2 linked regions of the Lonchura striata genome follow. The protein of the gene in region 1 binds, or shares a complex with, the protein of each later gene. Links are inferred from orthologs where the notes say so. Each region holds a gene or a part of one and is shown in the gene's direction. Other genes may lie near its edges.

Region 1 (15,914 bases):
TCTTGCTTAATTGAAAATGTCACTTCTTGTATTTAATGAGAATTTCTGCCTTATTCTAACCCCGTCAGAAGAGACTTTATCCCAAATCCAGCCCTAAAAACCCACTGCAAAAATTTCTGCTGCCATAAATCCATAAGGGATTTGAGCCCATGTAGGAAAATTACAGCTATTTTTCCAATTTCTGTCCATCTTTTTATTAATTCCATAAATTTCCCTCGTCCGCCGGTGCTGCTCTTGGCTTTGTCCAGGGACACGGAGCCCCAGGAAGGGAAGGGAGCCGGAGAAGCAGCGGGTGCTGGGTCCCTCATCCCTGGAGGGATCCCAAAGCCCTGTGGATGTGGCACTTGGGGACACGGGGCAGGGCTGGCCTTGCCACTGCTTGGACCCCTGCAGCTCTCGCCCCCATGGTTCCCCCACCCCATGAGAAGATCATCCCACTTATTGTCTCTTTTATTTTGGAAAGATGTGTGGAAAATCTGGAAAACCTGGCCCGCAAAGCGAGGCGGAGTGAGAACAAACAGCTCCTGGTGCCGCTGCCACCGGTTTGGGGGTGATGGGAGAGCAGCAGTGGGGATGGGAGGGAGGGAATGGGGGCAGGCTCTGATTCACAGCTCCTCATCCCACAGTGCTTACAGCACTTGGGCTGGGAAAAATACCTGTTCCCAGGAATGCTCCTCCATAGGCTTGGCTTTCTCCTCGCTGCCATTGCTTAGTAACAGCTCTATTTTTAAATGCTAAGAGGGTAATAGACCAAAAAATGGGAGTTTGCTCAGTCTCTGATCCAACGGGCGCTAAACCCAGCGGGACAGGGCCCTTGGGATCACGGGAGGCACCTCAAACCCATCCAGTGCCACCTCCCGCTGTCCCAGGTGCTCCAAGCCCATCCAGCCTGGCCTTGGGCACTGCCAGGGATCCAGGGGCAGCCCCAGCTGCTCTGGGAATTCCATGCCAGCCCTGCCCACCCTCCCGGGGGATAACTCCTTCCCAATATCCCATCCCTTCCTTCCCTCTTCCAGCTTAAAGCAAATCTCCAGCAGTTTCTGCTAAAATGCACTCCCAGGAGTACCCAAACTTGCTAAAATCTCCTCCATCCAGCACATCCAGGGAGGTTTGGGGCTCTTCATCCAGCTCCACATCCTCCATCCAGCGCATCCAGGGAGGTTTGGGGCTCTCCATCCAGCTCCACATCCTCCATCCAGCAGGCAGGGAAGCGGGGCTTGGAGGGGAAAGGATGGAAGGCGTGTCCCGGGCAGAGTGCTGCGGGTGGAACTGGCATTTCGCGGGTGTTTAAACCCGGAGTGAGCGCGGCAGTGAAGCCCAGAGCAGGGGAACCCGGAGCAGCCGCTGTGCTGCGGCTGTCGGGGAGGTTTGCGCCGGGCCGGCTCCGGGAGCTGCCCTGGAGCTCTCCTTGGTGCCATTCCCGTGTCCAGCTGGGAAGGGACCTTCAGGATGCTCCAGACCCTTAAAACCGCACGGAGCCCCAGGCACATCCCAGCAGAGCCGGGCACCGCCTCCGCCCGTGGCCGCAGCCGCGCACAGCGGGCACAGCGGGACTGGCATCCCTGCTTTCCCCTTCCCGGCGGGACTGGCGTGCTCCGGGGCCGGGGGCTGCCCGGGGCTGCCCCTCAGCCCCGCGGTCCCGTTCCAGAGGCCGAGAAAGCTCCGGTGCCCCGCAGGTCAGAGGACGTGAGAGAGGAAAGGAGGGAGCCCGTTCCAGCCTGGCCCGACAGAGGCTCCGCTGCTGCTGCACAGCCCGCAGCTGCTGTGCCACACGCTGCTGCAGCGTGCAGCCACTGCAGCAGGGCAGGGAGAGGATTCCCTGCCCCGGGATGCTCTGTGCTCCGAGCAGAGCTCTGCCCGGGCTCCGGAGCATCCCTGCAGCAGGGCAGGGACAGAATTCCCTTCCCGGGATGCTCTGTGCTCCGAGCAGAGCTCTGCCCGGGCTCCGGAGCATCCCTGCAGCAGGGCAGGGACAGAATTCCCTTCCCGGGATGCTCTGAGCTCCGAGCAGAGCTCTGCCCGGGCTCCGGAGCATCCCTGCAGCAGGGCAGGGAGAGGATTCCCTGCCCCGGGATGCTCTGAGCTCCGAGCAGAGCTCTGCCCGGGCTCCGGAGCATCCCTGCAGCAGGGCAGGGACAGAATTCCCTTCCCCGGCTCTGTGCTCCGAGCAGAGCTCTGCCCGGGCTCCGGAGCATCCCTGGCAGCCCTGGCAGTGCCATATCCTGCCCTGGCAGCCCTGGCAGTGCCATATCCTGCCCTGGCAGCCCTGGCAGTGCCATATCCTGCCCTGGCAGCCCGGCAGCCCTGCAGCAGGGGGGCTCTGCAATGCTGCTGCCCCCACGCTGGCACAGCAGCTGGCAGTGACCTTCAGCTGCTCTTCAGACGGCAGCTCCGGCTGCGAGAGCCGCGCCTGGATTTGGGGAGCTGAGAGGGAATTGTGCGTCTGAGAGGCAGCTGCAAGCAGGGATTGAAACACTTTTTGTGTGTAAACCCGGAGAGCTCAGCTGCTCCAGGGAGGGACTGAAATGCCGGGGGAGGGTTTTGACGCCGCCTGATCTCCAGGTCCCGGCAAGGCGAGAATGGAAATTGGAGCGGGGATTCTTCTGGCAGCGTTCCTGAGCTCTGTGGCCAGCACTGGACATCCCAGTGGCGCCCGGGGTGCTCATGGAACCACGAAATCCCAGACTGGTTTGGTCAGAAGGACCTTGAAGCTCATCTCACTGCAGCAGGGACACCTCCCGCTGTCCCAGGGCACATCCCAGAGCAGGAGATCGGGATGGTCCCAGCTCCTCTCCTGAATTCCTCTGTCCTTTTGTGAGACAGGGAAGAGGGAGCAGTTCAATCTCCCCGGTTGTTACATTTTAAAACAGGTTTTTGAGGTTCTTCCAGATGATAGAAATGCAATCATTTCAGTGTTAAAAGAAGAAATTTGCTGTTCCAGGTTTAAGAGTTATCATTTTTGCAGGTCCAGCCTGATGATGTCATCGCTCCAGAAAAAAGGAACTTTTCCCCAAATTAGCTTTAGTACAGGGATGCAAATACCCCAAGTTATTCCAGTGTCATCCTGGTGGAACAGCTCCAGCAATTCCCCATGGACAGTGACAATTATCCACACTGGGGCTGAGGGGGGAGGGCAGCACCCGGCTGCTTTTTGGGTTTCCACAAAGATTTTCCTTCCTTTTCCACTCCCGTTTTTCATCTCCTAAATTCTGCCTCAATCAAAATTCCCAAACCCATTGGCCATTTTGGGCAGAGCCTGGCAGATCCCTCCTGCCCAGCTCAATTCTTTGCCACCTGAACCCCCCTTGTGCCTGTGGCACCAGGGCCATGCCTCATCCCCTCCTCTCAACCCCACAAGGAAAGGCTCCAAAATTGGAGATCAGCTTTGTCCGGGAATACTTCAAGTAGTACTTGAGTGAACTTGGTGAAACCAGAGGGAAAAAATATATTGGGAGTTCTAAAGGGAAAATGTTCAAAGCTGTGCAGCTCCACCATTTATTGAACAGAAGGAGCTGAGTCCTTAAAACCAGTCCTTCTCTCTATAGTCCAGACTTTAAAAAAATGGGGAATAAAAATATCTTTATTTCAGGGTTATCTATGTGCTGCTTTGATTCACCCCCCTTCTTCCCAGCTGGACTTGACCAGACCCTTCTGAGCCCAAACCTGCAGAACGCTTCTAGGGAACACATCCAGCTTTCCTGGGAAATTTGCTGAAAGAATTTCATTGTTCTAATGCAGCCAGGCCCAGAGCAGGAAAGGGGAAATGCATGGAAGAGCAGAGGCAAAGCCCAGCTTAGGGACTTGTTCCACTGCCCAGCTGGAGCTCTGCCTCAGCAGAGCTCAGGAGGTGCTGGAACCCACATTTCCCACTGTTCCCTGGAGCTCACATTCCTCACAGTTCTCTGGATTCTCTGGAACCCACATTCCTCACAGTTCTCTGGATTCTCTGGAACCCACATTCCTCACAGTTCTCTGGAACCCACGTTCCTCACAGTTCCCTGGATTCTCTGGAACCCACATTCCTCACAGTTCTCTGGATTCTCTGGAACCCACATTCCTCACAGTTCTCTGGATTCTCTGGAACCCACATTCCTCATTGTTCTTTGGATTCTCTGGAACCCACATTCCTCACTGTTCATGGAACCCACATTCCTCACATTTCTCTGGATTCTCTGGAACCCACATTCCTCACAGTTCTCTGGATTCTCTGGAACCCACATTCCTCACAGTTCTTTGGATTCTCTGGAACCCACATTCCTCACAGTTCTTTGGATTCTCTGGAACCCACATTCCTCACAGTTCTCTGGATTCTCTGGAACCCACATTCCTCACTGTTCTGGCCTGCTCTTTGCTGCCCTTGCTTTTCCTGTTTGCTGGAGTCGGTGGAACCACTGTGGAACTGGTGTGAGGTGATGGGAATTGAGGGTTTCAGTTCCACAGCTCCAGCCTTGGCCTTGCCAGCTCCAGGCTTGGGGGGTTTGGTTCCCACCTCCCCCTGGCACATCCCTGTGTTCCTCCCTCTCCACATTTGTCTTTTCAGGGAAGAAAAGTCTCTATTTTCTCAATAAGAACTCGGCTCTTCCAGGGGTTTTCCAGTTCCTTTGTGCCCTTCAGAATCTTGGTGTTTTTCAGGAACATCAGCACAGAGCTGTGATGTCACCGTGTCCCTGCGGCCACCCCGTGTCACCGCCAGGCCTGCCAGCACCCGTGGGTGGCAGTGGCTGCCCCGGAGCCCCAGAATGGGACACGGCAGGAGCAGGGCCGGCTTTGCTGCCTTTGGGAACACAGAAGGGAGCTGAGCAGCTCCAGGACTTGCTGCTGGCCCAGCTGCTCCGAGGGCCACCAGGAGAGGCTGCAGGAGCCCAGCCGCGGGCAGGGCTGTGGCAGGAGGTGTCCCAGCCGCGGCAGGGCTGGAACGAGGTGAGCTTTAAGGTCCCTCCCAGCCCAACGCGTTCTGTGTCTCCGAGAGCCCCGGAGGGTTCCCAGGGTCGCTGCAGGTCACACAGCGACAGCGGGCAGGGTGGCACAGGGTGGCACAGGGTGGCACAGGGTGGCACAGGGTGGCACAGGCACGGGCGTGCCCTGCTCTGTGCCGCGGGGATGGAGGACAGCAGGGCAGCCTCGGGTCCCTGCCGGGGGTTCCCCATGACCCCCGCGGGTTTAGCCCGTGGCCCGTGACACCGCAGCCCGCAGGGGACACCGAGCTGTGCCCAGCACTGCTCCCGGGAGGCTGCGAGCCCTTCCCGCACCTTGGCCCGGGTGAGGAAACCGCTCCTGTGGGAAGGAGCGATGAGCGGCCCGGAGCTGCCCCGGGGCCGTGGCTGGGGGCCGGGGGATGCTCCGGGGATGCTCCGGGGATGCTCCGGGGATGCTCCGGGGATGCTCCGCGCGCGGGGCGCCCCGTCGGGACGGGGACGGGCGGGGACGGGCGCGGGCACCGCCTGCGCGCTCCGCTCCGCACCGCATCCCCCGCACATCCCACACGGCATCCCCCGCCCCGCATCCTCCCGCATCCTCCCGCATCCTCCCGCATCCTCCCGCATCCCCGCTCCGCACCGCCCCGCGGGGGGGGCGCGGCCGCGTCCCGCCCCCCCGCACCGCCCCTGCGCCGCCGCGGAGCGCAGCGCGGGCGCGCAGCGGGACCGGACCCGCCCCGCCGCCGCCGCCGCCGCCGCCGCCGCCGCCGCCGCCGCCGCCGCCGCCGCCGCCGCCGCCGCCGCCGCTTTGTGTCTGGGCGCCGCCCGCGGAGGCGGAGCGGGCCCGGCCCTGGGCTCCGCGGCGCGGCGGGCGGCGGGACAGCCGCGGGCAGCCCCCGCACCGCGGCTCGGCCGCGCATGGACGCGCGCTCCCGCCTGCACCGTGAGTAGCGGGGCCGGGGCCGGGGGGTGCCCGGGCCGCCGCCGGGCGCGGGGAGGGGGCGCGGGGCGGCCCCGCCGAGGACAAAGAGCGCGGGCAGCGCCCGGGGCGCGCCGCCGCCGGCCCCGCGCAGCCCCCGCGGCGCGGCCGCGCAACCTGCCTGCGGCGCGCTCGGGCTCGGCGCGGCTCCTGGAAAATTCTGCGCCCTTCGCAGCGCCGGTGGAGGCGCGGGGAGGTGCGGAGGAGGCTCCCTCCCTCCCTCTCTCCCTCCCTCCATCCCTCCTTCCCTCCCTCCCTCCCTCCCTCCCTCCGCGCAGGGACATCGCCGCCTCCCGCGGTCCCGCGTGGCGCTGCCGCTGCGTGCCCCGGCCCGTTCTGTGTCCGGCCCGTTCTGTGTCCGGCCCGGTGCCCAGCGCGGTGCCCAGCGCGGTGCCCAGCGCGGTGCCCAGAGCGGTGCCCGGGGTCTGGGGGCAGCGGGCGATGGGCACCGGCTCCCCCCGCGCTGGGAGATTCGGGGGAGGCTGGGCAGGAGCCGGGCCTTGCGCTCGGAGCCCGCGTGTCCGTGCCCGTGCCCGTGTCCGTGCCCGTGTCCGTGCCCGTGTCCGTGCCCGTGTCCGTGTCCGTGTCCGTGTCCGTGCCCGTGCCCGTGTCCGTGTCCGTGCCCGTGTCCGTGTCCGTGTCCGTGCCCGTGTCCGTGTCCGTGCCCGTGTCCGTGTCCGTGTCCGTGTCCGTGTCCCTGTCCCTGTCCGTGTCCCTGTCCCTGTCCCTGTCCCTGTCCCTGTCCCTGTCCGTGTCCGTGTCCGTGTCCCTGTCCATGCCCGTGTCCATGCCCGTGTCCGTGTCCGTGTCGCTGCCGAGGGACAGCGTGTGCCGAGGGCACCGAGCCGCCTTTGCTCGTTTGCCCTGGGAGGCTGGGCCGGGGAGGGTCACGGACAGGAGAGCCCTGCTGGAAGTTCCTTGGCTTTTGGGAAATGGAAACGGTCCGATGGGGATTTTTGCCGTGGCCCACACTCCATCTAAATCCCTTCCTTTCGCTCCTGTCCGCCCGTGATTTCCAGCTAAAAACTCCGGCCACGTGCCGTTGGTTGGTGCCTTTAACCTCAGGTGCTTGGGTGGGAATAATCCTTGGGAAGAGCTGAAATCCAAAGCGTTTCCCTCAGCGCCCCACGAGCAGAGAAGTGACTTAACCCGCCGGCTTGTGCTGCTCCGCATCTGCTCGCTCAGCTCCTCGCGGAGGAGGAGGAGGAGGAGGAGGGAGGGATGCTCGCCATGGCAACCTCGCAGATTGCGGCCGCTCCGGGGAAGGAGCAGCGCTCGGGAAGGAGCAGAGCAGCGCTCGGGAAGGAGCAGAGCAGCGCTCGGGAAGGAGCAGAGCAGCGCTCGGGAAGGAGCAGAGCAGCCGAGCCGGGACCCGGCGTGCTCGGGCGGGACGGTGGCCCCGGGAGCGGGACCCGCTCTGGGGAGCGCTCCCGGTGCCTGGCCGTGGAGAGGGAAGGGCCCCGGGAGGTCACGGAGCCTCCTCTGCGTGCAGCCGCAGCGAGAGGAGGGCTCTTCGTTCTCCAAACATCATTAATTACCGTGATTATTCCGAAATTCAGTGATTTTATCATCCGGTGCCTCGCTGCGCTGCTTTACCTCGGTGTCCCTGTGAACTTTAACCTTGGCCTGTATTCCATCTGTAAAACTTTTTCTTTGGATAAAGCGGCGATTTTAATTTTTTAATTACCTCACGGAGGAGGAGCTTTGCTCTGTGCTTCTGTTACACAGTTGGTGTGAATTCCCTGAAAAAGGGGGGTTAGATTCCACTGATTTTAGCATTTGCTGGAGTAACAAAAGCTTTCCGGGGTGCCTGGTGGATCCGAGGAGCTGCAGCTCGGGAGCAAAGGCTGCGGAGGGCTGCGCTGGAATCCCTGGGAAGGTGCTGCCTGCCCAGCAGCAAATCCCCCACTCCCTGCTCCTGCAGCAATTCCTCGCTGCTTCCCACAATGCATTCACAATTGGTTCAAGTTTAAAACCCCACAGAAAGGATTTTAAAAGCTTGGGCGCTGTTCCTGGAATATTTCAAGGCAGCAGCACCGTTAGAGCCCCCAAAATTCAGAATAATCACCTGATTTAAGGTGTTTGCACCTGGTGAGGCTTTGCTGGGAGCGTTGATCCTAAAGCAGAGACTCCAGGGATCCCGAGCACAGCAGGACATGGCAATCCATGCCAGGACAGGCTGGGGCCGTGCGGTGGCAGCCCCCGAGTCCCCCCGAGCCCCGTGGGCACGGTGCCATCCCCTGGGCCAGCCCCGTCCCCTGGGGCAGCCGGGGCAAACCGGGAGAGGCCTGGGGTCAGGGAGGGGGACTGAGGGACAGCAGGGCTTCAGGAAGGGTGAATCCTCCTGGGCATTCAGGGAATTTTATCCTGCTGGAATTCAGCTGACACCCCTCCCCTGCCCGGCGGGGGAGCCGAGGCTCCGTCCCTGGCGCGCTCCAGGGTGCCCGTCCTGGCTGGCCCGCCTGGCACCGGGCTGGGCACGGTTTTCGGCAGGTGGAGGAGGAGCTGCTCCCCTGCGGGTGTGGATCCATCGGGCTGAGCATCGGCACGGGAAAAGCCGCTGGGACACAGCTGGGGCCGGGAGCCCACCCGCAGCACCCCGAGAGGGTCCCAGGAGCAGCCAGGGCCGCTTGAGAATCCCAATTAAGGAATTCGGGATTTCGGTGGATGCGAGCCCAGCGCAGCCCGAGCTCCTCGAGGTGGTACCAAGCCCTATTTAAAGATTTCCAAGAGCCACGATGTGTCCTTGGTTTTCATCTCAGCTCCCTCTAATTTTAGCGTGGTTTCCGTAGGCTCTCATTTGCAGATTGCATCAAATCCTAGGACAAGGCTTGCAGAACTCGGGGCTGGGTTTTGGTGGCTTTTTTTTTTTTTTTTTTTTTTTTTTTTTTTTTTTTGTGATTTTTTTTTTCCTTGGGAATGCAGCAATTTGTCGAGAGCAGAGAAATCCTCTGTGTTTGACTGGGCAGAGCCGCCCCTCCCGGTGCGAGCTGCGGAGAAGTTGGGGAAGGGAGGAAGGTGGAGGGATGAGCAGGGATGGCTGGAAGCAGCTCGAATGAGGCTGGAGAGCCCCGGGGAGAAGCCGCTGCTGGCGGGGCTGGAGCCAAGCGCAGAATCAGGGGAAGAAAGGAGCCTTAAATCCCCGCGCTCTGGGAAAAGGGAGCAAATACCGTGTTAATGGATCAGGTTCTGGTGAATAAAGAAGAAAAGAAGCTGTAAGATCAGGAAGGCTCTTTTTTATTATAAGGAGGAGAACATTCCTCATCCTTTAGTTCCCTTGGATCCGGAGTGAATGACTTTAGAGCTGCAAGAGTTTAAGCTCATCGGAGGAAAACGGTGCTTTTTAATTTTTTTCTTTTTTTTTTTTTTTTCCTTCCCGAATATTTTTGCTGGGGAAAAGATTTGGAAATGAGACTCGGAGCCAAGAGAATCCGTGGAGAGCAAATGTAACCTTTTCTAGGCTAGGAAGCAGTGGCCAGCGGGCAGAAATAATCCGAATTCGTGCGAGTCGGGCGGAGGAGAGCGCAGAGCCGAGCCGATCCCGGCGCTCGGGATGTAGGAGCCGCGGCGGGACTGGGAGCGCCGGGCACATTCCCACGGCCGGGAATCCAGCGCTGCGATCCGCCTCCCGGGGGTCGCGGGGCGCCGCTCGGGCAGCGCCCGCGCCGGAGGTCCGGAGCGTCCTTGGGATGCTCGGCAGCTCGGACCGACTCCGGGGGATCCGCCGGGAATAAAACCGCCTCTGAGGAGCCTTCGGGCAGCCGCGGAGCTCGGGAATCGTCCCCGCGGGCCAGGCGCACAGCGGGCAGGGCGAGCATCCCCCCGCGCTGCCCCGAGCGCTGCCCGGGCACCGGGGCTCGGCCCGGCCCTGGATCGCCGCACGACCCCGCTCCCGTCACTCGGACATCGCCGCCGCGGCGGCCCCGGAGCGAAGGGATGGCATGGCACGGGCACGGGCACGGGCACGGGCACGGCGGCATCCCCGAATTCCCCCCGCGAGGAACGCGCCGAGGCAGCGGATTCATCCCTCCCCCGAGCCACGGCAGGAGCCGCGAGCGGGGCCGGCGCCGGCGCCTGGTGTCCCTGCTGCAGAACCCGAGCCTGCTCTGCAGAGGTGCTGGCGACACCCGGGGGACACCCGGGGACGGGGGGGACACACCTGGGGGGCCGGGGGGACACCCGGGGGGCTCGGGGGGACAGACCCTGTGGAGCTCAGAGCTGCTGCCACCAGGGGACACGGCTCGGCGGGGTGGGGGACACACCTTGGTGGCTTTGTTTGGGGACAAACCCTGCTGGGGTTGAGGAGATGCTGGCAGGAGGGACAGCGCTCGGTGCAGATGCGCCTTGGTGGCTTTAGGAAGGACAATGATGGCTTTTGGGGGAGACAAACCCTGCTGGGGTTGAGGAGATGCTGGCAGGAGGGACAGAGCTCTGTGAGCACAGACCTTGGTGGCTTTAGAAGGGGCAATGGTGGCTTTGAGGGGGACAAACCCTGCTGGGGTTGAGGAGATGCTGGCAGGAGGGACAGCGCTCGGTGTGGATGCGCCTTGGTGGCTTTAGGAGGGACAATGGTGGCTTTGGCAGGGGACAAACCCTGCTGGGGTTGAGGAGATGCTGGCAGGAGGGACAGACCTCTGTGGGGACACACCTTGGTGGCTCTGTGGGGACAGACAATGATGGCTTTGGTGGGGGACAGATGCTGCTGGGGTTGGGGAGCTGCTGTCCAGAAGGGGACACAGCTCTGGGGGGACACACCTTGGTGGCTCTGTGGGGACAGACAATGATGGCTTTGGTGGGGGACAGATGCTGCTGGGGTTGGGGAGCTGCTGTCCAGAAGGGGACACAGCTCTGGGGGGACACACCTTGGTGGCTCTGGGGGGACAGACCCTGTGGAGCTCAGAGCTGCTGCCACCAGGGGACACGGCTCAGGGGGGTGGAGGACACACCTTGGTGGCTTTAGGAGTGACAATGGTGGCTTTGGCAGGGGACAAACCCTGCTGGGGTTGAGGAGAGAGCTCTGTGGGGACAATGATGGCTTTGGTGGGGGACAGACGCTGCTGGGGTTGAGGAGATGCTGGCAGGAGGGACAAAGCTCTGTGAGCACAGACCTTGGTGGCTTTAGGAGGGACAATGGTGGCTTTGTTTGGGGACAAATGCTGCTGGGGTTGAGGAGATGCTGGCACGAGGCAACAGCTCTGGGCAGGGGGACTTTGGTGGCTTTAGGAGAGCCAAACCCCACTGGGGGTTGAGGAGCTGCTCTCCAGAAGGGGACACAGCTCTGGGGGACACACCTTGGTGGCTCTGGGGGGGACAAACCCCGCTGAGGGTTGAGGAGATGCTGGCAGGAAGGGACACAGCTCTGTGGGGACGTGCCTTGGTGGCTTTAGGAGAAACAATGGTGGCTTTGTTTGGGGACAAACCCTGCTGGGGTTGAGGAGATGCTGCCAGGAGGGGACACAGCTCTGGGTGGGGAGACTTTGGTGGCTCTGGGGGCCAGGGAGCTGAGCTGTGGCTGCCAGGAGCTCTGTCTCCAGCTCTTCCCAGGTCAAACCCCAGCAGTCTCTGCTTTTCTCGCTTTTCCCCCCCAATATATAAAAAATCAGCTCCATGCAGACACCTCCACAAGTTCTGTTTCCAGCAGCACCTTCCATCTTCCCTTCGCCGCTGCCCTTCCCAGTGCTGACCTTTGAGGAGTCTCTGGGACAGAGGTTCCTCAGCCCTGGGACACGTCTGGGAGATGTTTTTGGCCCCGTGCTCCTGCCGGGAGGGCACTTGGACAGCCTGGGGCAGAGGGACAGGTTGGGATGGTGGTGGAGCCATGCTGGGAACGGAGGGATGAGGCTGGGAAGGGCCATTCCCTTCATAGGCAGCATTAAAATCAGGACTCTGGTGGTCCTCCCAGTGGGGATATCCTGGCTCCATCCTCTGAAGGGGTGGGAATCTCGGTGCAATTTGATTTTGCCCCAGGTATTTGCTGTGTGTGCGGCGTGGAGGCAGCTCTGCCTGTTGTTCCAAGAAATATCCCTACATTCTCCAGCCTGAGCACTAAATTGGTGGCTTTCAGCAGTTCCCTAATTATGTGAGACATTTTTTGTACTTAACAAATGGTTCTGATTCCTGCCAGCACTTCAGCCTGGTGTTCCAGGCCCGTGGGTGTCGGGGAACAGAACATATTTCTGTGTCTGTGAATATGATCCCACACGTTGTCTTAAGTGGGAAAATGTTCGCAGCCCTTATATGGAGAGAGATTTTTTTTTGATTCTTTTTTTTCCCCCTCTAAATCCATCAGCGCTCGCTCCTGCAGCACGAAGGCAGTTTGATCCTCCCGGTGCTCTCCTGGCTGGATTGGGAAGCAGAAATACACAATGGGCTTCCTCCTGCTCCTGGCAGGAGCGGGGCTCTGCCCTCCAGCCCTGCAGGAGTTGGGTTTGGGGTGGGGGATGCTGTCCCCACCTGCGGGGGAAGGAACCTGGGGGCTGCAGGTGCTGCTCCTCCTGGGACTGTGCTCCCTCCTTACCCTGCCTGGGAGCTCCCACCCCAGCCTGGGCTGGCATCGCTGCAGCCAGGAGCTGTGGGGAAGCTGGGGATTGTGGAAAAACCTGGGAATTGTGGGGAAAGCTGGGAATTGTGTCACAGCAGAGTGACGGGGCCCTGCTGTGCCAGGGGGATGTGCTGTGCCACGCAGGGAAATCCGGGGAGCACAGCAGGGCTGGGAGCGCTCGGTGCTGTCCTGAGGGAGCTCTGGGGAGAGCCTGGGACAGACTCCTGGAGCAGAGCCTTGGGAGGAGCTCCTCGGGCTGATGGAGGGCTGGAATTGCCTTCCAACGGGTTTTGTCCAGGAATAGCCACGGCTGCACGAGGTGTTCCTGTTTGGGAGCATCAATCCCAAATCCTCTGGGCTTTGTGGTGCTCATGGAGGAGCAGGAGGGGAGTGAGGCCAGGCTGGAGTGGCCGTGGTCACTCAGGCTGTGGATGGGACCCTGCCCCAGGGCTGGGCACAGGGGCAGGATCAGCCCTGAGCTGCTGGGAATGCTCTTCCCAATCCAGGATCCACTGGGCACTGCTGGCCAGGGACATTTCATTGTCCCTCAGGATCCCACTGCTGGCCAGGACAGCTCCTTGTCCCAGGTCCCTGTCCAGGGACTCCTGCAGGTTGTGCCATTTTGGGAATGAGGTTCTGCATGAGCCTTGGGCACCAGCTCAGTGAGTGGACCCGTATTTGTAGGAATTTTCCTTGGGATGTAGAACAGGGCTTTCTGGGTTGGTTGATCTATGGCTGAAGGTGCTGCAGTGTTTTTCTCAGGATTCTTTTTCCTGCAGCAAAGCCACTTCTCAGGATTCCTGCAGAAATACCTCTGTGGAAAGAGGCCACACTGAAAACTGGGAGCCTGGGCACAGAAAGCCCTGAAAGCAGGGAATTCTGTGCATTTTCCAGGGCTGCCCTTGTCTCCACGTGCCAGCAAAAGGCACCCTTTGAACGGGATGTCATTGTCACTCTGCTGGATGAGCATTTCCAGTTGTGATGACAACCGAGTGAGGACTTGGAGGAGTGGAAAAGGGAGCTCCAGGAGCTGCCAGGCTCAGGCCTTTCCTCAGAGCTGCTATTTTGGGGGGACTGCTGCAGCAGCAGCAGGTGTGAGGCAGCGTGTCAGCCTGGATTTCATCCCTGCCCGAGACACCCTGGCCTCGGAGCGGTGCCTTTGGAGAAATCCATCCCCAAGGTCGCTTGTATCCATGGGAAGGGCTGGCAGCATCCACCCACAGAGCAGCTGCCTGCTTTGTGTCCTCCTTCGGTTTCTCTTTAGTCCAAGTGAGTTTGGGGGAAATACAAACCAGGGTGGGGGCAAGGAGGCAGGAGAGTGGCATTCCAGGGAATTCTGGAGTGCCCATCCCTGGAGGTGTCCAAGGAAGGGCTGGGGGTGACCCTCAGTGCCCGGGCTGGGGACAGGGTGGGGATTGGGCGCAGCTGGGACCTTGGAGGGCTTTTCCTCAGGAATTCTGGGATTCTCAGGATTTGCTGGAATCTCATGCACGGGGTCGGTGAAGCGGGAGACCCTGGTTGCTGTGAGCCCCCAGACGAAGCCGGGGCTGGGTAAATGAGAATTCGGGGCTGGGTTGGACCCTGCCTGGCCCCCTGTGCCCGTCCAGCCAGGGCCAGCCTCTCCTGCAGCTGCAGGCAGCAGCACAGGGGCCTGGAGCTGTGGGCAGGGAGAGTTGTGGTGCTGGGCACTCGTGTGCAGCTGTGAGCCACAATTCCAGTCACCATTTGTTTCCCAGGAATTCCCGGGCAGCTCGTCCCCATATCCAAACACATTTGCTTTTTCCTTGTCTAATTTAGTTCCTCTCTGCCCAGCATTTGTGACTGCATGCAGCAGATCTGACTCTGAGCTATCCCACAGCTTTTTCTTTTTCTTTTTCTTTTTCTTTTTCTTTTTCTTTTTCTTTTTCTTTTTCTTTTTCTTTTTCTTTTTCTTTTTCTTTTTCTTTTTCTTTTTCTTTTTCTTTTTCTTTTTTCTTTTTTCTTTTTTCTTTTTCTTTTCCTTTTCCTTTTCCTTTTCCTTTTCCTTTTCCTCTGTATCCTCACAATCTGCCTGGAGTCAGGAGAGCTCCACGGGCTGCATTCCGTGGGTCCCAGTGCAGGGCAGGAGGCTCCTGGACCTGTGGGAGCTTTTGAGTGAATCTGCTGCTTTGTTGAGAGACTCATCCATGTTTATCCCAAAAAAAAACCTTCCCAAATTTCCTCTGGAGCAGCTACAACCCAGCTAATTAAAACAGGGATCAAAACGGGCGTTTGAAATGGAAGTGAAAATGAAATTAAGAGAAAATAAAGCAAATAAAGATTGAAATAGAAATAAAACACAGAGTGGTGGCTGCTGCCACCATTTAACTGCAGATACAACATGAGCACTTCTTCTTAATTAAGGAGTGGAAAAAGCTAATTAGCAAACTGCATCGTGGCATTGTTGTGGAGATGAGGGCTTTGTGACTAAAGTTGCTTTGAGGAAGCAGGCCAGGAAAGAAATCCAGGTTTCCTGCAAGATCTGTAACGATTTTGTAATTGATTTCCTGGAGCAGGATTCTTCATTTGATGGGATTTCAGCTGCTTGTGTTTGTGATTTCTTTGTCAACAAGAGGAGCACAAGCCAGGTGTGTTTGGGGCAGTTCTGAGAGCCTGGGACAAGGTTTAGTGGGTGAAGTGCAGTGGGTGGAAGGGAACTTGAGCTGTGGTTTATTCTGCACAGGCAAATTGGGAATTTGGGATGGCATTAGAGGAGCTTTGGGGGTTGGAATCAAATGATCTTTCATAGAGCCCCAGAATATGCTGAATTGGAAGGGACCCTCAGCATTATTGAGCCCAAGTCTGTCCCTGGTCAGGACATCCCAAGTGGGAATCCCAAAAAAGGGGAAAACACCCGAAAAAAAAATCAGCAAAATCCAACTCAGACCATCCCACAATCCTGTGACTCGGAACACATGCAAATGTTAAAAAAAAACAAAAAACCCTTAATTTTAAGCACGTTCAGGCAATTCCAGGGCACGTGGAGAAGCCGAAAAGGAAAGATCCTTTCCCACAGGAGCCCTTGGACTGGGCAGACGCAGGGATGAGCTGGGTCTGGTTTGGAGCAGCCCTGGCAGGAGCCCACCCCACGCTCCCTGAGCGTCCCTGGGGTGGGCTGGGAGCGTCTGGTGGCCTCGGGCAGAGGGGACTGTCCCCTGCAGGTGCTGTCCCTTTTCCCTGCCAGGCTCCCGCCGCTCCCATTTGCAGCCTCATTTCACCTGGGACAGTGCCTGGAGCAGCCCGGGGGACCCTGGAGCAGCAGAGCTTCGTGGATGAGTAAATCAGCAGCTCCTGCAAGTGATTCAATGAAGGTGGCATCTCCGGGCAGCCTCCTGGCGTGGTTTTGCCAGGTTTGGATGGATTATTTGAGTGTTTGCAGGAGGCTTTCCATGCTGGGAGCAGCGGGCAGAGCATTAAATGCAGGGATGCCAGGTTGTGCTGAAGGGCAGCATTCCCCGTG
Region 2 (15,632 bases), on another chromosome or scaffold:
TAAAGACGAGGATCGCCGGACCCCGAGCGAGCCGCCCGGATAGCCGGGCAGGCGCAGGGCTGGAGCAGACCAGAAGCCAGAACAACTTTCTTTGACGGGGACTTTGTGGAGCTCTTCATAAAGAAATAACAGCAGGGGAAAGCCCCAGGAAGCCAGGAAGCGTTTCCAGCGCTCGGGACGCTGGTGAGCGGCTCCGGGCCGCCGGCAGCCCGTGCGAGGAGCTCGTCCCGCCGTGCAGATGTGTGTGATTGGAGCAGCGTGAGCTTATTTTCCTTTGACTGAAGGCAACCCAGCCCCGGCGGATTAAGCTCTTTGTGTGCACGCCAGTGTGCCTGGATGGAAGCTGCTCCCGCAAAACCAGCTGCGAGGGTTGTGGGGAGCATCCTCTAGGTCAGGGAGCCCTCCTGGAGGAGGGGGAGAGCTCCTGTTTCCGTGGCTCTGAGGCGATGCTGGGACAGTAACACCCTTGGCAGGCAGCACAGCGCTTCGGGATGGCCGTCTATGCCCTCACGGGTTTCTCGCTCGTCAGCCTGCTCAGCTTTGGCTATTTGTCTTGGGACTGGATGAAGCCCAGTTTGGTGGCTGATGTGGCCACAGACCCCATGGAGAAATCACTGCCTCCCACCTTCACCAGGCCACCCCACATCATCTTCATTCTGACTGATGACCAGGGCTACCATGACATCGGCTATCACGGCTCAGATATCCAGACGCCGACGCTGGACAGGCTGGCAGCAGAGGGTGTGAAGCTGGAGAACTACTACATCCAGCCCATCTGCACCCCGTCCCGGAGCCAGCTGATAACTGGCAGGTAAGCCAGTGCCTGCCCACAACCTACTCATGTTCCCCTTTTGTCCTTTCTCTGAGGGGCTTAACCCCAGCTTGCTGCTAGAGTGATGCCCTGGTGTATTGGCTGAGGATGGAGATCTGGATTTCTCTAGAAAGCTTCCTGGGTAAATAGTTGATTTCCACACAGGATAAATAGTGGCACATGGCAAGAGCAAAAATGTGGATGCTGCTGGGTAATGGATGTCACTTTGGGAGAGGGTGGTCCCTAGTCAGGAGGTCTTTGGTGCTGGGCAAGGAGCTGTGTCCCCAGGTAGTCCCTGACACACTGGCCCTTGGAGATTTGCTGTGAGGCCCTTGGTGTGTGCTTTCCCTGAGCACAGGGTAGAGCTGCACTAGCCAGCACAGGCTGGATGTTGCTCCACTGCCTTTTCCCATGGCAGCACAGTCAGATGTCCCCTTATCCTGGGCCATTCTGCCTTCTAAGATAGGTGGGGCTTTCTCTGGAGCAGTACTGTGTGTTCAGCATTCACTGTAGGAGGCAGATCCCACCAGACCACCTCCTGCTGAGAAGTAGGCCCCAGGGATGTGCTCACCTACTGCCTGGAGTGGTGGAGCCCACCATGGTCCAAGCAAAGGCCTTCCTTCTCTCCTGAAGGTTCTTGAGGGGTCCCAGATATCTTTGTGGTGTGCAAAGCAAGGGAGGACAGAGACAGGGGGGTTATTCAGGTGGGGCATTTTGAGCCCACTTGCTTGTGCTCCCCAGCCATGACGCAGCCGAGCCACCTCCCTAGGCTGGTAGCAGTGGGGACAAATGCTGGTGACATTTTTGTGAGATGTCTGCTGAGCCTCTCTCTGTGTTCTTTGCATCTACTTTTGGTACTTATGGATGGATGAGGAGCTCCCTGTCCCTGGCTGGAGCTTGCTTCATTGGGTTGGGTTGGGGACATGGAAATCTGCATTTGTTTTGGTTCTCTAACACATAAAGTGCCATCACATCCTCCTCCAGTGCTGCTCCTCATCACCATTGCTTTCCCCTGGCTCTTGCTCCTGGCAGGTACCAGATCCACACAGGATTGCAGCACTCCATCATCCGCCCTCGGCAGCCCAACTGCCTGCCCCTCGACCAGGTCACCCTGCCACAGAAGCTGCAGGAAGCCGGCTACTCCACACATATGGTGGGCAAGTGGCACCTTGGCTTCTACAAGAAGGAGTGCCTGCCCACCCGCCGGGGCTTCGACACCTTCCTGGGCTCCCTGACAGGCAACGTGGATTACTACACCTACGACAACTGCGACGGGCCGGACGTCTGCGGCTACGACCTGCACGAGGGGGAGGACGTGGCGTGGGACCAGAGCGGGAAGTATTCCACCTTCCTGTACGCCCAGCGCGTCAGCAAGATCCTGGCATCCCACAGCCCCAAGGAGCCCATCTTCATCTACGTGGCCTTCCAAGCGGTGCACACGCCCCTGCAGTCTCCCAAGGAGTACATCTACCGCTACCGCTCCATGGGCAACGTCGCCCGCCGCAAGTACGCGGCCATGGTGACCTGCATGGATGAGGCAGTGAAGAACATCACCTGGGCCCTCAAGAAGTATGGGTACTATGACAACAGTGTGATCGTGTTCTCCACGGACAACGGTGGGCAGACCTTCTCCGGGGGAAGCAACTGGCCACTGCGGGGTCGCAAAGGGACGTACTGGGAAGGGGGAGTGCGTGGCATTGGTTTTGTCCACAGTCCCCTGATCAAGCGCAAGCGTCGGACAAGCTGGGCGCTAGTTCACATTACAGACTGGTACCCTACTCTGGTCAGCCTGGCCAGGGGCAACCTGAGCAATGTCCAAGGCTTGGATGGATATGATGTCTGGCCTGCTATCAGTGAGGGCAAGGACTCACCACGCACTGAAATCCTGCACAATATTGACCCCTTGTACAACCACGCCAAGTATGGCTCCTTGGAGGATGGCTTCGGCATCTGGAACACGGCTGTGCAAGCTTCCATCCGGGTTGGGGAGTGGAAGCTCCTCACTGGTGACCCAGGGTACAGTGACTGGATACCCCCACAGACCCTGACCAACTTTCCAGGGAGCTGGTGGAACCTGGAGCGTCTCACTGATGGCCTGAAGAAGTCCGTGTGGCTCTTCAACATCACTGCCGACCCCTACGAGCGCTACGACCTCTCAGGGCAGCGCCCAGACGTGGTCAGGACCCTCCTGATGAGGCTGGTGCACTACAACCGGACAGCCATCCCGGTGCGGTACCCTGCGGAGAACCCCCGGGCTCACCCAGACTTCAACGGTGGGGCCTGGGGACCTTGGGCCAGTGAGGATGATGGGGAGGAGTGGGAAGGTGGCCGGGAGTCCCTGAAAAGCAGGAACAAGAAGAAGAAGAAGAAGTGCAAGATCTGCAAGCTGCGCTCCTTCTTCCGCAAGCTGAACACCAGGCTCATGTCCAACCGCATCTGACAGACACTCCTCCAGCATCCACCCATCCTGGCCAGGGTGGGGCTCTGGACTGCAGTGCCATGGGATGGGAGCGAGGGAGAAGGACAGGCAGGGAGGTGGCCAGTGCTTTCTTGCTCTCCCTTGCTCCAAGGTTTACTCCAAAACACTTCTCCCCCCTGGCTGGAGTGGTGGCCACAGGGAGTTGTTCCCAGTGGGTGAGGAAGGGCAGTGTGGTCTCTGCTGCAGTGCTTGGTGGTGGTGAATGACTGTGCTGAGCTGGGCTGGCCCTGCACAGCTGCTTCCAAAGAGAGAGACCCTTTCCTCAAGGATTCTGCAGCCAGTCATAAGCTTTAAGTGTTGGCCATCACAAGGGCAAGAGGAAGCATGGGGTGCTCTGCCTTCACGTTAAACCTCAACATTTCTGTTTGTCCCTGGCTTGCAGCCTGCTGCCAAGCAGCTGCAACCTTTGCTCTTGCTGGGAACTCAAGGCCTCCCCCAAACCCAAGACCACATTGCTTCTTTGTGGAGCACTGGATTCCTGACCACAGATGTCAGACCTGAGATTCAACGTGGCTGGACTAAGTAATGCTGCTACTGTGACCTCATGCGGGGCTATGGCTTCCCCTCTGCACTGGCCTGGGGAGCCGGGAGCAGCCCTGATGAGGAGCTGTGGCCATGGAGGCATGGTTGGATGCTCCCAGAGGACAGGTGGTTCTCTTTGGCCTCACATTTGGGAGGCAGGTTTGACCCAGGCTCTGGCGGTGGACTGCACATGGGTTAGGTACCCAGCAGAGCCTTTCACTCAAAATTTGCCTGGACACCCCCATCATCTGCAAGCCTCTAGGCACCCCTGTTCCTCCCTATGAATCCTATACATCCAACCAGCCAACCACCCCTGTCTGCCCCTTCCCAGTGCTGGAGCTGTCCCTGTCCCCACATCCCATTGCTGAACCTGGAGCAGTAGAAGATCTCAAGAAGGTCTCTGCAGAAGCTGATCTGCTGTTTTGTAGCTGCAGGACTTTAGAAGCAATGGTGGAGGACGGGGATGATGGGGACGTCTCCCGCCTGCCAGCAGCGCGCCACATCCCCTCGCCACAGATGGGCACTGCTCTTCCAGCAGCGCACGCGTGGGGAGGAAAACACCTCCCCATCATCCGCTGCTGTGGGGAGCCAGCCCATCCCATCGCCAGCGGCCAGGGAAGCCAGCGAAGCTCCGGGCCCCCGCGCCTTCGGCGGGGTGAGAGCGCGCACACGCGCGCTCGCAGGATCGCTGGCGAGGATGGAAGGGGGTAAATAGCTTTGAAATCACTTTGGATGCATGGTGCATTTCCATTTACACAATGTGTTTTACATTTCTCCCCACAGGTTTCTCTTGGTGCAGCGTGTGTAGGCGAAGGCCCTGCTGTGAATTTTGAAAATAGTTATTTTTGTCTCTGGAAAATGAGGCCCGTTAGGACTTGTCAGCTCTTGGATGAGCAGTGTGGGCTTTCTATTTTTTTTTCTTTTCCCCCCTCTCTTTCTCCCTTGCAAAATAACATTCATTTAAAATCTGTCATTGAAAGATGTGACAATTGGCAGCGTGCACACTGAATACCTTTCAGTGCTCTTTCAAGCCCTGTGTGTGAGAGAGGGATGAGGATGAGAAGAAAATGACATGTTTGTATTTTTTTTTTTCTTACTCTTAGCTGGATTATTTGGGGGTAATGGGATTTTCTCTAGAAACAAAGGGGAAAAAAACCAGCTGACAGCAAAGCAGAAGAGAGGAGGCTTCTTCTTGTAGAGCTGGGAAGGAGTTTGAAAAGCTGGAGCGTGGCAGTGTGTGTGCCAGTCCCCGCTGCTCCACGCACGCCCATTGCTGTGCCATCCCACCCCGCTGGCTCCCTGCATCCCTGCAGGCACATCCCAAGCACAGGGTTCAGAGGGGACCCCGCTCCTCCATCAGCCCCATCTCCATCCCTGCTCCCTTAGCATGTTGCTCCAAGACGACTGTTCCACATGGCATTACCTGGGTGGAGGTGAGCCCCAGGAGGAAGCTCCACATCCTCAAACTACCTCAAATCAGCCAGCCTGGTCCCTGGAGATGTGCACCATCAGTGGGACTGCGGCACCGGCTGCCATTTGGCAAAGCCAAGCAGTTGCTGAAAATAAAGCAACATTTTGCTGAAGAAGAGGAGGCTGCTGCAGACAGAGCCAAAGCCAGGGGAGAGCAGCAGGTGATGCTGCAGGGGCTTGGGAATAAATATTAGCTAAGGGAGCGTTGGTGCTGAAGGGAATGGGAGAGCAGGGCTGGACATGATGTGGTGACAACGCTTGGGAAACAGCTTTCATTTCCATATTTACATAAATGCATCCAAGTTTAGTCCTTCTTTTATTTTCTTTTTTTTTTTTTTCCAAAAATGTAAATTTCCATGAAAACATGCTCCATTTTCCTCCCTTCTCTTTTACAAACATCCCCATGAAAATGCTCGTCTGGTCTCACTTCCTCTTTCTGGGTTTGGATCTGCTGGGCTGATGCTGGGTTTGCAGTCAGCCTGGCCACAGTGGTGGATCTTCTGTCATCTGTATTTTAATTAAAAAGAGTTGGATTCTGAATCTTTGCAAGAAAAAACAGCTGAAGGAAAAGCTTAGTCCCTGAAAACAAAGAGGAGAAGTAGGCAGGAGCATCTCCGGGTGCTAGGAGAGAGCAAAGCCTCCAGCCTGAGGACAGCAGCTGTCCTTCACCCCTGATTCCAGCTGTGCTGTGTCTTAACATTGGGCTGGGAAAGGAGATGCAGCTGCTGCCACGTGTTCTCCTCATCACAGCAATGCTCTTAATGGTCTGTGCTGTGAAAAACGCAGCTATGTGCCAAAATCCCATGTTTTCAGAGAGCTGAAGTCCTCTGAGACTGTGTGCGCGCTCTGGCTGCCAAGGGGTTAATGCAGCTGGAGAGATGCTCAAGCAGTGGAGTTCCCCGCACCCGGGAGATGTGTTTTCACAGACAGGCTGAGGCTCCCCTCCCTCCCAACCTCCCTTCAAAGCTCCTGGCAAGCCCCAGGGAGCTCCCGAGCCCAGCAGGAGCTGGATGCAGGATGGGGGCCTGGAGGGAAGGGGCAGGGGGTGCAGCCGGGGCCCCCGGGGATGGAGGGGTGGTGGCTGCCTCTCTGTCCGTGTGCACTGGCTGTCCCCACCCTGGCTGTTTCCAGCCTGCTGGCTGGAGCGAGTGGGAAGGGGATGGGCTGGGAAAGAATGGAGTTGGGATGGGATAGAGATGGGGAGGAGGATAAGAGGGGGGTGGGGCTGGGCTGGGCTGGGCTGGGAAGAGGAGGGGAGTGGGATAGGACGGGGATGGAATAGGGATGGGATGCATTAGGCAGGACTGGGGGTACGTCAGAGCCTCTCCAACCCCACAGGCAACTCCCACCGGAGAGAGGGAAGAAGCCCAGTATCAGGCCAGGGGATGGACATCCCAGCAAACTGCCCCAGTGGCAGAGCACCCTGAGCATCTCAGAAGGTGTTCTGCATCAGGGGCACTTGTGTTCTTTCTCATGCCAGTGATCTGAGGACATGTGGTTTTGCAGGTTCCCCCCACTCAGATCTGGTGCACGATGGTTCCAGGGAGCCACATGGCACCTACTGATTGTCCCCAAGTGTCATGGGCATGTCCATTGGAGGGTCTTTGCCTATGAACCCTGCTGTAGGGGAGAGAGTGGCACTGAGAACACCCTGTCTCGGCCAAAAGCACCTTCCTGTGGTTGCAGGAGTAACTGCTGGGCCCATAGGGACAGGGCACGTTTGCAAACACAGCCCTAAATGTAAATCAGCTCTCCTCACCACGGTATTTATAATCTTATCTAAAAATAACCCCAAATTCAGCTTTCCAGAGGACAGCAACTGAGCATCCCCCAGACCCCAGCTTGCATGTGAAACTGTCCCAGTAATTTTGGGATCTCTGCAGTATGTAATTGGCAGCCTGGCTGGTTTGGTGTGCGAGGCACTGCTGTAAGCCCCATCCCCTGGGAGCAGGAGCACCTGCTGCAGCCCCCCAGGACACGTGGGTCCTTCCTGAGCTGCGCATCCCGTGGGGTTGGGGTTCAGCATCCGACCTCGGGTGCCCACCCTGGGCCAGCCCCGTGGTGCAGAAACCAAAGCTCTACAGGCAGAGCTAGAGGGTGTGGGGAGCAGGATGCATTTTTGGAGAGGCCAGCCCAGTGATGGAGAGGAGCACTGGGGATGAAGGTCTCCATCAGGTGGCCAGACCCGAGCATGGCAGCAGAAGAGCAGCATGGCTCCCAAAGCCCTGCAGGAGCAAATCTTGGGATGGTGGGAACAGACACATCCTGAGAATATCCGGAGGCCTCTGGGAGAGGACTGGGACTATTCCCCCCTACAGGGGAACCCCCAGCCCAGAGGTGAAAGATTCCACCCAGAGCTCCTGCTCCCCTCGGTCTGTCCCCAGGCACTCAGGACTGAGACCTGTTCCTGCTTGGGAAAACACTACCAGCAAAGTAGAGCTTGTTCAGCATGCAGAAGTCTGACACCCCCTTACCCTAAGAAACAAAAATGTCGAGGAAAAGGAAAAAAACTGAATAGAGAGAAGAACAGAGAGGAAGAAACTTTTCCTGGAGAGCCGTGTCTCTGCTGGGCAGGAGAACCCTGGGGGGGGAGGCAGGGTCCTGGGGGGGACTTTGCCATCACCCCTGCCCGGGTGAGGGGTTTGGGCTGCAGCAGGGGCCCCGGGGGGAAGGAAGGGACACATCCCTCCTCCGGCTCCGGGAGCACGCAGAGTCACGCGTGTGGGGTTGAGCACGTGTGGCAGTGTGGGGGTGGGCACGGGGAGGGGGGCAGGTCACATTGCGGAGCTCACGGGGACACGAACAGCAGCGCAGGTGGGAGGGAGGTGGGAGTGAGGCAGGGGCACAGCGCTGCCCACGGCCATCCAGGAGGTCTTGGGAGTGGGGGGCTCTTGCTCTTGCCTCTAGGGTTCCAAGGGGCTGCTGGGGGCTGGCAGCAAAATGCTGGGGGAGGAAAGCACTCCCACAAACATCCAGATGCACCGGCCCCCATGGCAGCCCCCCACCACCTGGCAGAGCCCTGGGGTGGAGAATGAACCCCTCTTTTTTTGTGGGAGCACCATGGGGAGGAGTTGTGCAGATGCCTGGAGGCATTTTGGGGACTGTCATGTCCCCGGGGCACAGGTGGCACATGTGCATTGCCTGTAGCCCAGGTGGGGGTGCCTGGTGTGCTCTGCCCATGCCAGGGCACGGCCAGGGTGGGTCTGGAGGTCATCAACCCTTGGGGACTGTGGCCTCACCCCTGTGCCCTTCCATGGCTGGGAATCAGTCCCTGCTCTGCCACCAGGGTCACCTGGATGGGACCAGACAGGAGCGGGAGGCTGGATGCAGGGATACAAGGTGGGGATGAAGGTGGGTAATGGTGCAATTAATGGAAAAGCCATTAGACCTTTCTCCTCCTCCCCCTCCTCTTCCTCACTCCGCCACTTGCTGTCCTCCTCCACTTCCACCTCCTTTCTTCTCTCCCTCTCTGCTCCTCCTCTCTCCCCTCTCAAAGATTTCTCCCTATTTTTGTCTGGTTAGAACCTTTTATTTTCCTTTTAACCCTTCCATGGCAGCCTGAAAGAGAACTCAATCTGTCTCAGCTGCCAAAGGCAATGCCCTCCCAGCTGGCACAGGGAGTCCCTTCTCCTGTTGTGAGGAGGGCCCCGCTGCTGCAAAATCATCCAGAAATGGGACACAAGCCTAGTAGAAAGATCTTCTGGGGGAAGTCAGCAGGTGGAAAATGCAAGGGGTGCTGTAGACAGAGTGGGTGCTGCTGGATCCCCAGAGAGGGCTGGTGGGGACTCAGAGGGAAACCCCTTCCTTGAGGTTTTGGATCTCACATCTCCACTTTTATCACACTTTTTGTGCTTTCTTATGTTCAGCACAGCAGAAAGGCGACTCAGCAACAAAAAGTCCAAGGACTAGAGGCCAGACCTTCCTCCTATTCGCACTTTGAAACTCCCCCCTTTCTTCCCTGGCTTGGGCAGCACAGGGACACAGCACCCCAGGACACAGTCCTTTTGCTCCCCTCTAGCTGTGCTTCAGGCCAGGCTGCTCATCCCTCTCTGTGAGGGACCCTCAGGAGCTGCTCCACAGGAACCCCAGGGCCCTTGGGGGATGCAGTGGGCAAATGGGGGAGTGGGGAGCAGCCAGCCCTCCCCTGCAGTGTGATCGGGGCCAGCCCCTCTGGGGACCCTGGCTGAAGGTGGGACAGTGTGGGGACCTTGGGACCTGCCATGATTTCTCCAGCTTCTCCTGACACACTTCTGCTCCATCTGCTCCCTCCTGCTGCAGTGTGGCCCCATCCCACAGCCCGCAGGGCCCCCAGGAATGCTGCTGCAGGTACCAGAAGGGCCTGTATTTTTTTTTTTTTTTTGGGGCGGGGGGAGATAAGCAGTTGCTGGGGTGACAGCATCCTCCTGCAACATGGAAACCACAGTTTCCATGGAAACCTTTTTTGCCCCAATTATTTTACCACTGCCACAGCCTTTAATTTGCCATTAATAGTTGTATTTTAGATGTCCCCCTCCGCAGCAGGTGGGTGACCCCCGGGCAGCCCCCGGCCCGGGTGCCCAGCAGGGCCCTGGTCCCCACGGAGGGCGGCGGGTTTGGGAAGCAGTTGCCCCGGCAACAGAAACAGGGCGTTTCTGGCAGCGGTGGTCACCATGGGGACGGCGATGCTGACGAAGGCTTGTGAAGCTGAGAAGACAAATTGCCCTCATCATTATCTCCGGGCTTGTCAATCAAATATATTCCCTTATTTACCTCAGCGAGGAGAGAGCCCCGGGAGCACACGGAGAGGGAGGGAGCGAGAGGAGAGCTGCTTGCCCCAAACTCCGCACCGGGAGGGAGCATTTCCAGCCCCTCAGGATGGCCACCATCACCTGCAATCGCTTCACTGAGGAGTACCAGCTCTTTGAGGAACTGGGCAAGTAAGTTGGAGATGGGGCTGGGATGCTCAGAGCGGGGCTGTGCCCTGGCTGGGAGAGAGACTCAGCGGTGCTGGGAACTGCTGGAGATGAGGGAAAGCAGATGGGCATGGAGAGAATGCCGTGGGAATCAGAGAGGGCACGCGAGTGAGGACAGGAGCTTCCAGCCCCAGACCTGCTTCTCTGTCCCTGCCTGAGTTCAGGGGCTGCTGGTGGATGCTTGGCTGGGGGCATGGGACACCCCAGAGGTTTGGAGTTGCTTGGGAAAGGCTCGGTTGCCCCTCTTATGGAAAAGCTGCTCCCAAAAAAGAAGGCTGCTAGCTCCCTTGGGAAGTTCTCCAGCTGGTAGGAGGGACAGGACAGCTGAGGAGGAAAGCCAAAGCAGTGGACACCCCTCACATTTCGTTAGGGAATTTATTTGTGTAGATTCACTAGGGCTTGAGTAGATCTGCAGGAGACCCAGTCTGCCTGGCAGTCCCCAGAGAATCCCTGTGGCTTTTGGAAAGATCCAGGGTATTCTCCACCCCTGTCCCAGTGAGCCACAGCACTGTCTGACCCTGCTTTCCTGCAAAGGAGAGCTCGGCTCCTCTGGTCCAGCTGTCATCGTGTGTGCCTGGATCAGTGTGTGCGTGTGTGTGTGTTTGTGTGTGTGTGTGTGTGTGTGTGCAAACAGAGCTGCCTGTGCCCAGCCAGGGGATCCTGGGGAGCACTGAGCACCCCCGGGTGGAGCAGGGGATGCCAGGTTCCCTGTGTGGAGGGATGCTCCGCGTCCCGCCCAGCGCGAGCCTACAAAACGGGTGCAGGAGTGAGCAGGCATGTGCCTCTGTTTTGGTTTCTGTGCCTTTTTTTGGAGCTGGTGTGCAAATCTGGGCCGTGTGGCCACCGTCCCTTCGGAGTGGCTGGCAGCGTGGTGGTGGGCTCAGGGTGCCTGTGCCCTGGAGGGGAAGCTGTGCCCGTCGGCAGGCACAGGGATGCTCCAACCCCGCAGCCCTGCATTGCCCGGGCACAGAGCAGCCTGTGCCTCAGCGTGTGCCCACATGCACGTGGGTGTGTTAAATGGGGGCGAGGGAGAAGGGAGAGGGCAGAGATGGGGACATGGAGAGGCTGAGACAGGAGGACTTTCTGATGGCTGGGCTGAGTGCTGCTCACATTCCCCAGCCAAACTGTGGCATCGGAGTGCTGCTACAAAGTGCAGCTCCGTGGAGGCAAATGGAGCCCACCCTGTCCTGGGACATTCACACCCATCCCTGTGGCATCAGGGTGACAGAGAGGGGCTGGTGGACTGCAGGGGATTGGGTTCAGGAGTGGGTCCCTGTGGTGGGGACAGCCCCAGCTGGCACTGCAGGCAGGGGGATGGGCACCCTCCGGGGAGCTGGTGGCAAGGTGGGATGTGGGACCTGCTTTTTCCAGACTTTTCTTGGCTTTTCAGGGCTCTAGGGTTTTCTGGTGGTGACAGGGGGTAGGCAGGTGAGGCAGTGGCTGTTCTGTGCCTGTGGTGAAGCTGTGGGGCTCTGGCTGGGCAGAGGTGGCTGTGGGGATGTGGAAGGGAGTTCGCAGGCTGGGAGTGATGGGGGAAGACCAGGAGGGCTCCTGAAGGTACCTGGGCTGTGATGCTTTGCTGGGTGGGTGCTGACTGGAGGGTTGAGCACCCAGGCTCGGGGGCTGCTTGCATTGCCCGGCACTGTGGTCCAAAACCACCTGGACAGATGCATTTTAAAGGGAATAAAGGAGCAAAGCTGGCGCAGCAGCTCAGCAGCCCCTGAGAGCATCGCCCCCGACCACCCCAGTTCTGGGGGGATGCAGGGCAGTAGCCCCAGCTCGGTGCATCCCACAGCTCTTCCATCCACTCAAGAGGGAGGTACAACAGCATCACTGAGGTGTTCCCGAGTTAGGGGCTTCACCAGGTTAGCCAAGGTGCTGTGGAGCTGGTTGGGGATTTTCCACTGGGATGGTTTCCAGCACATCCTGGCACATTCAAAAATCAGCGGTTTCCCACGGGGAAATTTCTGCTTCATGGGCTTAGAGAGGGAAATCAGGACGAAGTGCCGCACCTCTGCTCTGCTGCGGCAGCTGCTGGCGCTGGGCAGCGCCGTTCCCCTCCGGAGAGACGCTCCCGGTGCCAGTCGGGGCGGGTGTCCTGGCAGGGCTGGGCAGAACCGCTCTCCCCGCGCCAGAGCCGGGCAGGGAGCAGCGTCCTGCAAGGACTCAGAGCAGAGAGGGTCCATCTTGAGTTTGCTGTCCCCAAGGGACGGGAGCGGGCTGTTGTGGGGCACACGGTGAGTCCCCAGCCCGGGCTGCCAGGCTGCTGCACCCGCCCTGTTTCTCTGCCGTTCCCTCGGCTGGCACCCACCCTGGCCGCCGGGCAGGCGGGGGTCTGAGATGCCACACACCTAATGGCAGCAGCACGGTGGGGCTTTGGGGGCAGGCCGAGATGGGCAGGGAGATCTGCAGAGTCTGCCCAGCGAGGCACAAGCCCTTGGCACATCCCTGCACCTCCCAAGCATGGGAGGACATCTGTCCCGAGCGGGGGACACGGAGCTGGGGAAAGCCCACTCCTGCGGCAGCCCCCGCAAAGCTGAGCCAGTGAAGGGCTGCTCCGATCCCCACGCCTGCAGGAGGGAATCGGGCGGGGGGCAGCGGGGGGGACAGGGAGAGGATCCTGCCCACGGCCCCCCGGAGTAGGACAAACATGAAGTGCAGCTCCATCGGCGCCTCCAAATCCGCCCCCGCAGCAGGTTCAGGGAGAGGCTGGAGACAATTACCGTGCCGAGCCGCAGGATCAGCCCCTCCGCTCCCGGAGCTGCAGGAGAGGGGGCTTATTAAAAAGGAAAAAAAAAAATATGGAGGAACAAAAAATCCCCAGCCCACACTCTGCTCTCTAGAAAGGAAAAAAAATGCCTCGGAGGAGGAGGAGGTGTTGAAGAGAGGGAGGGTGGCAGCAGCACAGCCGGGCACTGGCAGGGAAGGTGTGAAAAAGGGAGAAGCGGAGCAGCCTGGTGGCAAAGGCGCTGCTTGAGCTGGTGGGGAAGGCCGTGGGGACGAGGCATGGGGTCATGCCTGGCCTAGGGATCAAGGGACAGAGGCTGCAGGGCTGGGGCTCAGCAGTGCCAGGGCTCGGGGCTGCAGAGACAGGGCTTGTTCTAGGCTGTGGGTCCAGCCAGGTGACCAGGACACAGAGTGTACCCATGGCCCTGCAGGTGATGTACCCGTCCCTTGCTCACACTGGGACATGCTGTCTCATCCAAGCCAGGCAGAGATGGGGGTCCTCAGCTGCCACCAGGCTTGGGGTGATCTCCACCCAAAGGCCCAGAACCCTGGGAGCAAAGGAAGATGCTGCTGCCCATGGCCAGGGAACAGGACAGGAGACCTTCCTTCCAGAGGGGTTTCTTGCAGCTCAGCAGGGCTGAACTCCCTGCATGGCACCCCCAGCACTGCCTGCAGTGCGCCATGAGCCCTTGGTGTGGAAGGGGATGCTGCCTTTGCCATGAAGATGATGTATTTAGATGGAGCAAAGTGGTTTTTTTCCCCGCTAGGCTGGAAAAATCCTACATGGAACTGAGTAGCAAGGTAGCAGCCTGGCACAGAGAGTAGAGCCGGGCTGGGGGTCAAACACCCAGTGTGGAGGGTTCCTGGCCAATGCAGACCCACTGAAGGACCCAGCTGGAACAAGGATGGGGGTATGGCAAGTATGCTGTACCCCTGGGTATCCTGCACCTGCATCCAGTGTTCCATGTTCCACCCACCCTCCAGGCACACAGGGTTTTACTTATGCTTTACAGACCACAAGTAGACATTTGGTTTCTGTTAGGAAGGTCTGGAGGAGCCAAAAGCCAGGAATGCAGCTGGGGGAGTGAAACAGCCGCTTCCCATGGCTCCTCCTTTTTTGCTGTTCAGTTCAACTAAATAGATGAGCAAGTGGCTGTGGACACTGGGACCAGGAGTGACTATTAGTCTCCAGCCTCCAGTGGATCTGGGACACCCACAGCCCTCCAGCCTCATGCTGGGTTCTGCAGTGAAACCCTGAGCTGGGGCAGAGGGACATCCCTGCTTGCTGCACTCTCTGCTGCAGACTGTCCTGCCACTGCAGAAACATCACACATGTCTTTAGGACAAAAATTAGAGAAGATGAATCCCAGGGATATACAGGAGCCCACAAACTCTACACGGTGTGGGGTTCCCAGCAGGATGAAGAGAGCGAGACCACAGGACTGCCAATAGTTCTGGTCTGCCTACCTACTGCAAGCTGGATACGAAGCATTTCGCCCACCCTTTCCAGTTATTCTTCCCCAGGATTCAGGGATATTAACAGCTCAGCTCTTTCAGGAGCCAGGATTAAATGGCAGGACGGGGAAGCTGGGAAGCACCAGGATGTTTTCCCTCAACTCCTGCCTGGCACGTGCCGTGAGCGATGCTCTGCGAGGCAGCACTGGGCGCGTGGGCTGCCAGCTCTGCTGGGGCTCCATCCCCATCCCTCCACACCCGCTGCTCGCCTGCTCCTCCAAAAATCACATTCAAACCCAAATTGCCCGTCTCCACCCGCCCCTGCCGCTAAAATCAATTATCAGCCGCACTCGCCAGCCCGCGGCCTTTTATTCCTCAGCAGGGAGTTGGAGTGGGGTGAAAGGGAATGGGGGAAGGTGGGGCAGGAGGTGGGATTGCTTTTAATAGTTGTTATTTTAGCGATTGGAGAGGTTTGGCAGGAAAGGGAACCTGGCACAAAGGTTGTGCTCAGCAGGGCTGGAGCGTGCATGTGTGTGTGATTGCAGTGCTGCAGCTCCCAGCATTGCGCCAGCACTGGCAGTGCCACGAGCTGGCAGAACTTGGGGCATGGGGTACCAGGGCAGACAGGAGTCTTTGGAGTGTCCCAAGGCCTGCCAGACCCCAGAAGAGCTTTGCACATTAGCTTGGGCATCTGCAAGGTGCAATAGCATCCATCCCTGTCCAGCTGGGCTCCATCCTCACAGGGTCACCCGGCTGTCCCTGCCTGGGTGACAGTTTTGCAGTGCGGGGTGGGAATCTGGCACTAGTCACAGCTGCCAAGTCCTGCTGTGACTGAAGGGTCTAGAACACACAGACTGAAGTGACCAAGAGCTACATGGCAGCTGCAGCCATCACGGTTTCCCTTGGGAACCAGTGGGAATCACTGCCCCTTCCCTCCTGGCAACAGGTAGGGCAAAGCCAGGAGGAAGGGGAGGAAAAGTGCACGGTGCCTGGGGTGTCCCAGAGGAGCACAGCGGGGAGAAACCCACATTCCTCTCTAGGCCCGCATGTGCCTCCTCCCATCATCCCTCAAGGATGGTGGTGCAGGGAAGTTGATCCCTCCTTGTTTTGCACAAGTCCCTGCTCCAGTCAGCACCTATCCCCATCCTTGTCCCCATGCTGTGGCTGCCCCTCACCCCACAGTCACATGAGAGCTGAGCTGTGCTTGCTCCCACAC

What was found.
Region 2: the proteins of LRRC7 (region 1) and CAMK2A are in contact, whole or in part, in a crystal structure (PDB 6X5G), measured with the Homo sapiens proteins. The link is inferred for Lonchura striata from reciprocal best matches to the Homo sapiens genes LRRC7 and CAMK2A. Residues at the interface, in NP_001357714.1 of Homo sapiens: His843, Gly844, Arg845, Arg846, Pro847, Leu848, Ile849, Arg850, Gln851, Asp852, Arg853, Ile854, Val855; in NP_001350919.1 of Homo sapiens: Glu96, Phe98, Glu99, Ile101, Val102, Lys137, Glu139, Leu159, Phe173, Ala174, Gly175, Thr176, Pro177, Gly178, Tyr179, Leu180, Ile205, Gly209, Tyr210, Pro211, Pro212, Phe213, Trp214, Tyr222, Gln224, Pro233, Glu236.

Annotation. Positions count from the first base shown.
Region 1 is NC_134611.1:4,795,117-4,811,030, forward strand, and holds the start of LRRC7 (leucine-rich repeat-containing protein 7), read left to right. Parts: upstream 1-8,786; 5' UTR 8,787-9,831; coding exon 9,832-10,009; intron 10,010-15,914.
Region 2 is NC_134617.1:6,351,730-6,367,361, forward strand, and holds the start of CAMK2A (calcium/calmodulin-dependent protein kinase type II subunit alpha), read left to right. Parts: upstream 1-9,928; 5' UTR 9,929-10,136; coding exon 10,137-10,198; intron 10,199-15,632. Other genes in the region: ARSI (arylsulfatase I), read left to right, coding at 492-811, 1,844-3,251. UniProt on the Homo sapiens protein: Calcium/calmodulin-dependent protein kinase that functions autonomously after Ca(2+)/calmodulin-binding and autophosphorylation, and is involved in various processes, such as synaptic plasticity, neurotransmitter release and long-term potentiation.